2 linked regions of the Tribolium castaneum genome follow. Each later gene encodes a partner of the first gene's protein in a complex. Links are inferred from orthologs where the notes say so. Each region holds a gene or a part of one and is shown in the gene's direction. Other genes may lie near its edges.

Region 1 (4,987 bases):
AAATTACTGTTACAAATTTTGTGTTAACGTGTATTTTTTTAACCGTACTGTACATTTTCTCAACTAAACTTATCACTTGAAAGCAATATTTATGCAAGGCGGTTTAGAACAGTATTATTAACTTTGAAGTAATCTTTAAAGTAAACTATTCAACACGCAAATTTAAAATCGATGAAGTCACTTAGCCTTGTATTGTGCTCTCAGTTTACTACCTATATTGGACTTGTAAGATCAAGCGAGTGGTGTCGTAATACTCATTAACAATTTTTCCTTCATTGCATATTAGTCTAAATTAAAAACTAAAAATGGCAATGGAGTTTTTTTCCTCCAAATATACAAAATTGTGAAAATCCACCTACAAACCGACTCATAACTGTAATACATGTAACACATGCCTCGCCCATACAGTTGCATGCTATTGCAACATTTTACGTACAAATTAACTTTACTATTAATTTTGTAGTACAATTTAATTTACCAAATGACTAGGTTCACATCCATTTTAATAATTAAATCTAATCACTTAAATAAATGTGGTGCACGCTGCAGTAATCACAATTAATTATAATAATTGTAAAGAAAAGTTTTGGAGAGGACGTTGTTTTTTGTTAGCCAAACATTTTAAAATTTTATCTGAAAAAAATATGTCTGGTTCATTACTTAAATATTTACCAATGTCTCACAACACATTGTTGAATGATTGTTTATGGACTTATTATTACTATGTTATTGGTCATTTTCGAAAATTCTTGTTGCTCTATTTTACACTTGAATTATTCATGTAAATAGGCGATAGAAAAGAATTTATATTGTTATTTTTATTCTAAGGTGATTAAGAACGCGCAAAAATAGTTCCAATTAATTAACTGATCTGAATTAGCATAAATACATATGTATATTTATTTTAAAGCAACGATGAAAAATATTTCAACTACGTTTTGCCCATAAAATTATCAAAGAATGTGGGTACTACAGCGGTATTATTCCTAACTGTTGTGACATACATAAGAGATTATTGTACCGATAACGCAAAGTATTTTTTTAATAATAGGTTTAAATAGACAAATTTCCATAGGACCCCGTGAAGAAAGCATAAAACGTCTCAGTTGATAGCCTATGTAGAGTAGTATAAGTCACACCTATTGGTAAATAATTATAAACAAATTTGGTACGAAATAAAAACCACGCTGTAGTTGTGACAAACAAAATGTAAATGCAAAAACCTACACCTACACAGACAGCGATGACGAAGTACCTTAGAATTATTACCAGAAACAGTAATTAAACAGTCTGATGAATAGATATAGGTGAATCAGCCAACAAAAGTGATAAACAATGTAATCTAAACAATAAAATACAGTGCCAGCACCGGTTTCTAGTTCTATTTACGTTTTATTAAATCGATTTTAACAACGGAAAAAAATTAAATGAAATCCGGCAATGCCAAGCGGGACTCACCAATTCGCGATCCTACGGGCGTCGAAAAGGGATTTCCTCCTAATGCAGTTCCAAAAAAAGACATTTTTTATTTCTAAATTAAATTTCACGATTGCACTTTCTTGTTGTCACTTGACTTCTGTCACTGTCACTTGTCAAAACAAGAAAACACTGCGGCGCTTGCGCAATACTTCCGCTCCTAAATCTAAAATTTTCCGACGAAAATAACAATTTTATTTCAAACAAATAAACTGCATGACGCGCTTGTTGGTGTGTTAGTCACTGTTTTTCTAATTTATTGATCTTTTCATTCCCAAGTTGTGTAAACTTCTGAATAAAAAGACGTCAGACATGTGTCACGTGATCAAAAATTATACGAGGTGCGGTTCACAATTTAAAGTTCTTTTTTTATGTTATTTTTCCGTTCTTTCACGTAATATACTACCAAAGCGAGCATTTCTGCATTTATAACTGTGCTGTTGTCATTTCTTCTTTGATACAGAATACAACGTAATTTTACAATTTTGAGTATTTTTTTATAAGTTGCGGTATCAGCACTCGGCTTCGCCTCGACTACAATTTCGCAAACTCTTAATTGTAAAGATTTTTTTACTCCAAAAACCCTCTCTGGGCTATTTTTATCTACTTAGACGTTATAATCTACCTGTAAAGAGTTTTTTGTAATTGATATAATTTCACAATGAAAAATAATAAAACTCAAGAGCACAAGCTCGGCAAACTCAAAGATTCATGATTTCTCAAGTCCATAGCAACAATAAGGTACTTAAACAACAGTCATTGTGACATCAATAATTTCAAGAATGCTTGAAAAGGTATTTGTATCGATTTAGTGTGCCTAATGAAAATTTGTAAAAATGAATCCTTGTAAATTGAAAGAGCCAAAAGTAATAGACAATGCCCTTCTGGAGAAATGTATCAAAGACCAGGGCCCCAAGGGTGAAGCGGGTCGCTTGGCGGAGATCGAAAAAATCCCCCTTGAAGACGTCACCGAGATTCGCTTAGAATTTCTGAGTAACAATTCTTGTAAAATTTAAACCCGACTTTCTGTGTCCCTATCCGTAGATATCTTAAGAATTGACCACTTGTGGGTGCTGACATCTTTAACGAAATTAAATCTCAACAATAATTTACTGGAAAAAATCGAAAATTTGGAAAGTCTGGTGAACTTAACTGAACTAAATTTATCATTCAATAAAATAGCTAAAATCGAAAATTTAGACGAGCTTCGCAACCTTGAAAAGCTGAGTCTGTATGATAACGAAATCACGGTTTTGGAGAACATGGACACTTTAACAAAATTAACAGTTTTTAGCATTGGAAGAAACAAAATTGACGACTTGGACAATGTATTACGAAAAATAATTGTGTTCTAGAATACACAAATATTTTATAGATTCTGTATTTGCGACGATTCGGCAATTTAAAATCGTTAAATCTAGTGGGGAATCCCTGTGCCGAGGATGAAGATTTTCGTTTATTTATTGCAGTTTTTCTGCCACAACTCGTTTACTACGAATATAAATTAATATACGAGTCGGAACGGGAACTTGGACACGAAACTTTCAGGTTTCTAGCTAAAATTGTTTAAGTGAACATCAGTAGGAGAGTTTTTTAGTGCAAAACTGCGAGCATTGTTGGAGAAAGAGGAGAAGGAACGGGAAATCACTGCGATAAAGGAACAAGAGTTGGCCGATGCCGAACTTCACGCCTCTAGTTTCGTGGAGTATTTAAACACTCGCCATTTGTTCGACTCTTTATTTGCCAACGACACCGACGGCATGAACTTGATGAAAATCGGCGAAGACGCGCAAGAATTCTACGACGAGTACGAGGAGAACTTCATCGAACTGTGTAAACAAATATTCGAAAATGGGCAACAACAGTACATCCTGCGCAAAACCGAACAGGACCAGTTCTTAAAATGCGTCGAAGACGCAAATAAGGACAATCAAGACGAAAGCATTGTACGCCCCCTTTCGAATTTACTTATAGCCCCAAATTTCGTCCGTAGAAACACATGGAGATCTTCCTGGAGAAGAAGGCAATACTGTTCCTCAAAATCAAAAACGTGCAAAACCAGCTGAACTCAAACGAAATAAATTACGACGAGTTTATCGACAAATGCGACGTCTTCGTGGTGGAGTACGACGAGATGTTGCACGAAGTTTGGAAAGCGCTAATGAAACTGGAACTGGAACTTTACGAACAAATGGAAGAAGTCAACCAAACTTTCGAACACAACATCACAGAACTCGTTAATAATTTCATTGAATCGTCGCAGGCTTTCTTTACGCAGATCAGAGAGCTGGAAGTGAGCTACGCTGAAAATATCGGCGATTTGGCCACAAAGTTTCAAACAAATGCCAATTTGAATGAGGAAATCGAAGTTCCCGCAGTTCTTAAACCGGTAACTTCCGGCACTTGCTTTATTAATAATTTCAATGAGATTACAGCTTATGGCAGATAAGGATCTTCTGCACAACGCGTTGGCAACAAGTCACGATATGCACATGCAGATTATCGATGCGAGAGAAGACACTCTCATTTCGAACGCCAAGGATTGGCTAAATGATTTAATCGACGATTTAAACACGTAAGTTATGCCTTTACTTTTCCCGAAAAATATCCACAACTTGTAGGAATGAGATCAAGCGAAACAGGGGGAAAGTGCTGGAAATTAACCACTTTCTTGAAATCCAAAGGCAGGAGTTTGAGGATTTGAATAAGGAATACGCGCCTGATCTCAAGGATGACGTTATAGCCTTGGAATAAGTAAGATAGTAAAATATACTTTATTTTTACAAAAGTACTTACACATATTCTTGGTTTGGATAATAAATTTTACACTTCATTATATAAAAGAATATCAACTTATAATATCCTTATTTCTGTTTCTGCTTCAATGATTGCAGATACATTTCCAACCCCTTTTGCACACTGTCCTGAGCTACGTAATTCGCCACATATTCGTAATCTTTTTGGAGATTGTTAGTGAGGTCCTGAAATAAAAACTCATTTTTACAAAATATATAATTGAGCCTTAAATACAAAAATGCCAAAAAAGTCTATAAAAAAATCATAATACTAATTGCATCACATAATATGTTGAGATAAAAATATGTTTCCTTGGTGAGTTTCCTTAATAAAACATTTCGTTATATTTCCTTGCATTTTTAATAATGATTTTACCTACCTAGTTTTTGAAACTTAAAAAAAATACGGATAAATGCCAACTGATTAATTTCTGCAGAAAGATAGTACCCTCAACTTCTAGTATAAACTTAATTCGAAAGTATTACCAACAATTTCAGTACTAAAAGATCTTGGGGTTTTTTGGATAACAAATTATTTTTGAGATAATTTCTATATACTTGAAAATAATTTAAGCTCATAGGTCAGTATCGAAGCCTTTTTAACACAACTTTTTTTTAATATTGTAACATTTGGAAGGTTAGCAGTCTCTTCCAACTCGCTGGGACACGTTGCATAATTTTATAAAACTGTTATAAACAATGATAATGAATACAAA
Region 2 (3,727 bases), about 23 Mb from region 1:
TATTTTATAAAATAATCTAAAGAAGTGAAAAAGAATCCGAGTAGAGTCTAGAAAATAATTTCTAAATAAATACCTAGAAATGGATTTATAAAATAATTTAAAATGTCCAGGGCGGCGTTACATAAGATTTGAGAGGACTTTTAAGAACAATCTAAAGAAATAATTCTAAAAAATAATTTAGAATAATTTTCAACAAAACTACAAAGGAATTTTAAGGCAAAGCAGAATAGAATCTAAAAGAGTAATTGGAGAACGTATAAAAAACAGGTTTACATAAAAAAGAATTTTGAATGGTAAAGAATCTAGAGAAGAACGAATCTAAAGATGGATTTATAGAATAATCTAAAGAAGAAACCATCAGATCTGCAAACGGGTTATTTAGAAAAGAATCAGAGAAAAGAACAGAAACAATGCTAAAGAATAATTTAAAAATTATAAAGGGAACTACAGAGGAATTTAATAGCGCATCCAAAGATGGATTTACTAAAATAATGTAAAGAGGAATCCAGATTTCAGATCTACAAACGGTTTCAAAAAAGAACTCGAGTAGGATCTCAAGAAAAATCTAGAGAAGAGTACAAAAACAATGCTAAAGAATAAAAATATATTGCGAGAGAAAAATTCTATACATAACTGTAGGACAATTTTGAAAAGATGCAGAGTGCAATCTAGGAGAGGTTTTGGATAAAAAAAATTAAAAGAGTTTATAAAATAATTTTGAGTAGTATAGAAAATAATTTCTAAAGAAGTATATGGAGATGGATTTATAAAATAATTTAAAAAGTTCCAATTTTAGGTTTAGAAACGATTTTTTAAAATATTTGAGACTTATTTTAAAAACAATCTAAAAAAGAGTAGACAAACAAATAATGCCAAAAAATAATTTAGAAAAATTCGAAACGAAAGTACAAAGGAATTTTCAAACAAAGCAGACCTAATAATTGTCTTAAAAAACGTGAAAAATTCGTGAATTTATACAATAATCGAAAGAAGAATCTATATTTCAGATCTAGAATTAGGCTTATTTAGGAAAAAAAGAAAAGAAAAGAATTAGAAAAGTATATGAAAAAAAAATCCAGAGAAGACTACAGAATTAATAAAAATTATTTGGAAAAATTGTAAAGGAAACTACAGAAGAATTTATAACCGAATCTAAAGATGTAACCTAAAGAAGATTATAACCTAATAAGATTATTTCAAGAGAAAAATTCTATACGAAACTGTAGAAGAATTTTGGAAAGATACAGAGTAGAATCTAGAAGAAAATTTGGATAAAAATATTTGAAAAAAAGTGTATAAAATAATTTTGATTAGAGTCTAGAAAATAATTCTAAAGACGTATCTACAGATACCTAGAGTCTCCTCTACAAAAAAATTTAGAAGAATATTATGAACAATGTAAAAAAAAGTACATAAATAAAATAATAATACAGACTAAAAAATAATTTGGAAGAATTTTAAACGACGCAGACAAGAATCTTAAATTTGGATAATGTCAAAAAAATGTAAAAGTGTTAATAAAACAATTTTGGATTTGAAAGAAGAATCTAGAGAAGATGGATTTATAAAATAATCTAAAGAAGAGTACAGAAAGCTAAAGAATAATCTGGAAGAAATTTAAACGAAACTAAAGGAAAATCTTGAAAAACTGCAAAGTAGAATCTACTACAGAGTGACTATTAAAGACTGTGACAAAAAAACCTATTAGTAACACTGAATTATTGGCCTTCATGGTGGCTTGTTATATTAAGATTTCAAATTTGTCACCAACCTGACAAGAATCGCAATTTTTGAATAATCACCTGGTAAAGAGAATTTGAATAATATTTGTGTATTTATTTTATTTACACTGTTTTTTGTCATTCGTAATTTGTGCAACATAAATATGGCATTTTTACTTTTTAATGTTATTTTTAATTAAGAGTAATTATTATTATTGGTGATTTTTACCAAAAAAATATGCAAGTGGTACAACTGCCAACACTTCAAATCACCTAGCAACCAAAACTGTCGCTAGGAGACCGTCAACTGTTTAAACCTTAACGATTATCAAAATTGTTAAAATGTTGGAAGACGAAGAAGAAGAAATTCATGGTTTTTGTCAAAAACTCGTCTTTTTCCAAAAAACCAACACGTTTTTTTAGTGCCTATTAATAATGACTTGGAGCGCAGAATTGCCGACGCGTTTGAAGTTTTCGACCACGCAGGTAACAAAACAGTCGATGTTCGAGAAGTGGCAACGATCGTACGTGCCTTGGGTTGTTGCCCCACTGAGGCAGAAATTCAGGAAATTTTGATGGCTGTTGAAAACCCCGAATCTCCCGGAAGTGTACACTTGTCTAATTTTTTACCCCACATGTCGCAAATCATCACTGAACACAAGTATCACCAAAATTTAATCGCCAAAAAACGAAATTTTCATTCGCAGGTATCAGCCTGCAAGTCCCGCGCAACTTTTAGAAGCGTTCCAAGTGCTAGATAATGAAGGTAAAGGTTTTTTAACAAAGGAACGCATTTCCACGCTTATGACGCAAGATGGTGAGCCCTTTACCCAAGACGAACTCGACGAAATGCTGGAAATAGCCATAGACCCACACACTCAAACTGTGCCTTATGAATATTACATCAATCAGCTAATGGTACCTAATTTTTATTTTTGCAAATATTGCACTACGTTATTTTTAATAGCACGAACCTGAAGGAGAGAAAGATATCTATAAGTTAGCTGATCGTGTTCTTGAGGAAAATCCACCTCCACCTCCTCCTCCTCCACCTCGAAGGCTGTCCGAGTTCCTGCATGATTTGTCCGTTCCTGAATTTTAAATTATAAAACACTCCAAACTTCCACCTTGTTTATTATTTAATCTTCTTGCTTAATTTACAATTTTGCGAAAACTGTATCTTTCTGTTTGGTAGCTTGGGCTACTGTTGCTGTTGTGAAGTCTTCACTTTGAAGCATTAGCTGATTCCATAAGGCCTGTAAGTAATGTGTTATTAATTTATTATTTTTTGCAGCTGGATTAAGAAACAAGCACTAATGGGGGCGCCATTGAAAAATAAGCTTAATTTATCTTCTTGTTATTTAATTAAGGCAAGTTTCCTTTTATTAGGTGGTTTCAGTGAACATTAATAAAGAATAAAGAAATATTTCTGTGTTGTTACTGATAAATAGTTACTCCTTCTGTTCGAAAATACGGTAGGTATAACTTTTAAAGGCCGGTAAGTAATTACCAGTGTGAGGAAATTTTAGGGGGTGGCCATGAGGCCACAACCGATCAGCCGACTCGTCGTAGCGCTCTCGCGATGTTCATATTTATCGATGAAATGGTCCGCTACAGCGTGTGCATTGGCGTAGTTTACTTGGGGTTTATACAATTAATGTTACCGGTCGCTTACAAAAATCTAATTAAAACATAAATATTATTGTTTTATTATAATTACGGAGTACCCAAGAAAAATTGTGGCAATAAAATAGTCGCTAATTTATTAAGACTGCGGTATATTTGTTGAGATTATTTTCTGAATCAATTTTAAAATAGTTGCTAATATCAGCTTCTGATTGGCTAGTTCAAACCCTGACAAGGCACCTAATTTGACATAATCGTTAAAAAATAACTTCATCATTTCTTTAATTTTACACGGACACCAATGAAGATGTTTAATACAGGGGAGCGTAAGTCACTATTACATTTTGAAAATGTTGCGTTTTAATTCAGTGGAAATTAAA

What was found. The genes of interacting proteins can lie anywhere in the genome.
Region 2: dynein regulatory complex subunit 3 (region 1) and dynein regulatory complex protein 8 share a complex: the UniProt entries of both Homo sapiens proteins name them as parts of the nexin-dynein regulatory complex. The link is inferred for Tribolium castaneum from reciprocal best matches to the Homo sapiens genes DRC3 and DRC8.

Annotation. Positions count from the first base shown.
Region 1 is NC_087394.1:30,246,038-30,251,024, forward strand, and holds dynein regulatory complex subunit 3, read left to right. Parts: upstream 1-1,937; 5' UTR 1,938-2,312; coding exon 2,313-2,469; intron 2,470-2,520; coding exon 2,521-2,804; intron 2,805-2,851; coding exon 2,852-3,024; intron 3,025-3,073; coding exon 3,074-3,422; intron 3,423-3,469; coding exon 3,470-3,865; exon of another isoform or gene 3,866-3,911; coding exon 3,912-4,051; exon of another isoform or gene 4,052-4,097; coding exon 4,098-4,230; 3' UTR 4,231-4,322; downstream 4,323-4,987. Other genes in the region: TOM1-like protein 2, read right to left, coding at 1,459-1,522; enoyl-CoA delta isomerase 1, mitochondrial, read right to left, coding at 4,341-4,457. UniProt on the Homo sapiens protein: Component of the nexin-dynein regulatory complex (N-DRC) a key regulator of ciliary/flagellar motility which maintains the alignment and integrity of the distal axoneme and regulates microtubule sliding in motile axonemes.
Region 2 is NC_087394.1:7,332,504-7,336,230, forward strand, and holds dynein regulatory complex protein 8, read left to right. Parts: upstream 1-1,928; 5' UTR 1,929-2,063; coding exon 2,064-2,094; intron 2,095-2,144; coding exon 2,145-2,382; intron 2,383-2,428; coding exon 2,429-2,639; intron 2,640-2,688; coding exon 2,689-2,823; 3' UTR 2,824-2,845; downstream 2,846-3,727. Other genes in the region: delta(3,5)-Delta(2,4)-dienoyl-CoA isomerase, mitochondrial, read right to left, coding at 2,879-2,977. UniProt on the Homo sapiens protein: Component of the nexin-dynein regulatory complex (N-DRC), a key regulator of ciliary/flagellar motility which maintains the alignment and integrity of the distal axoneme and regulates microtubule sliding in motile axonemes.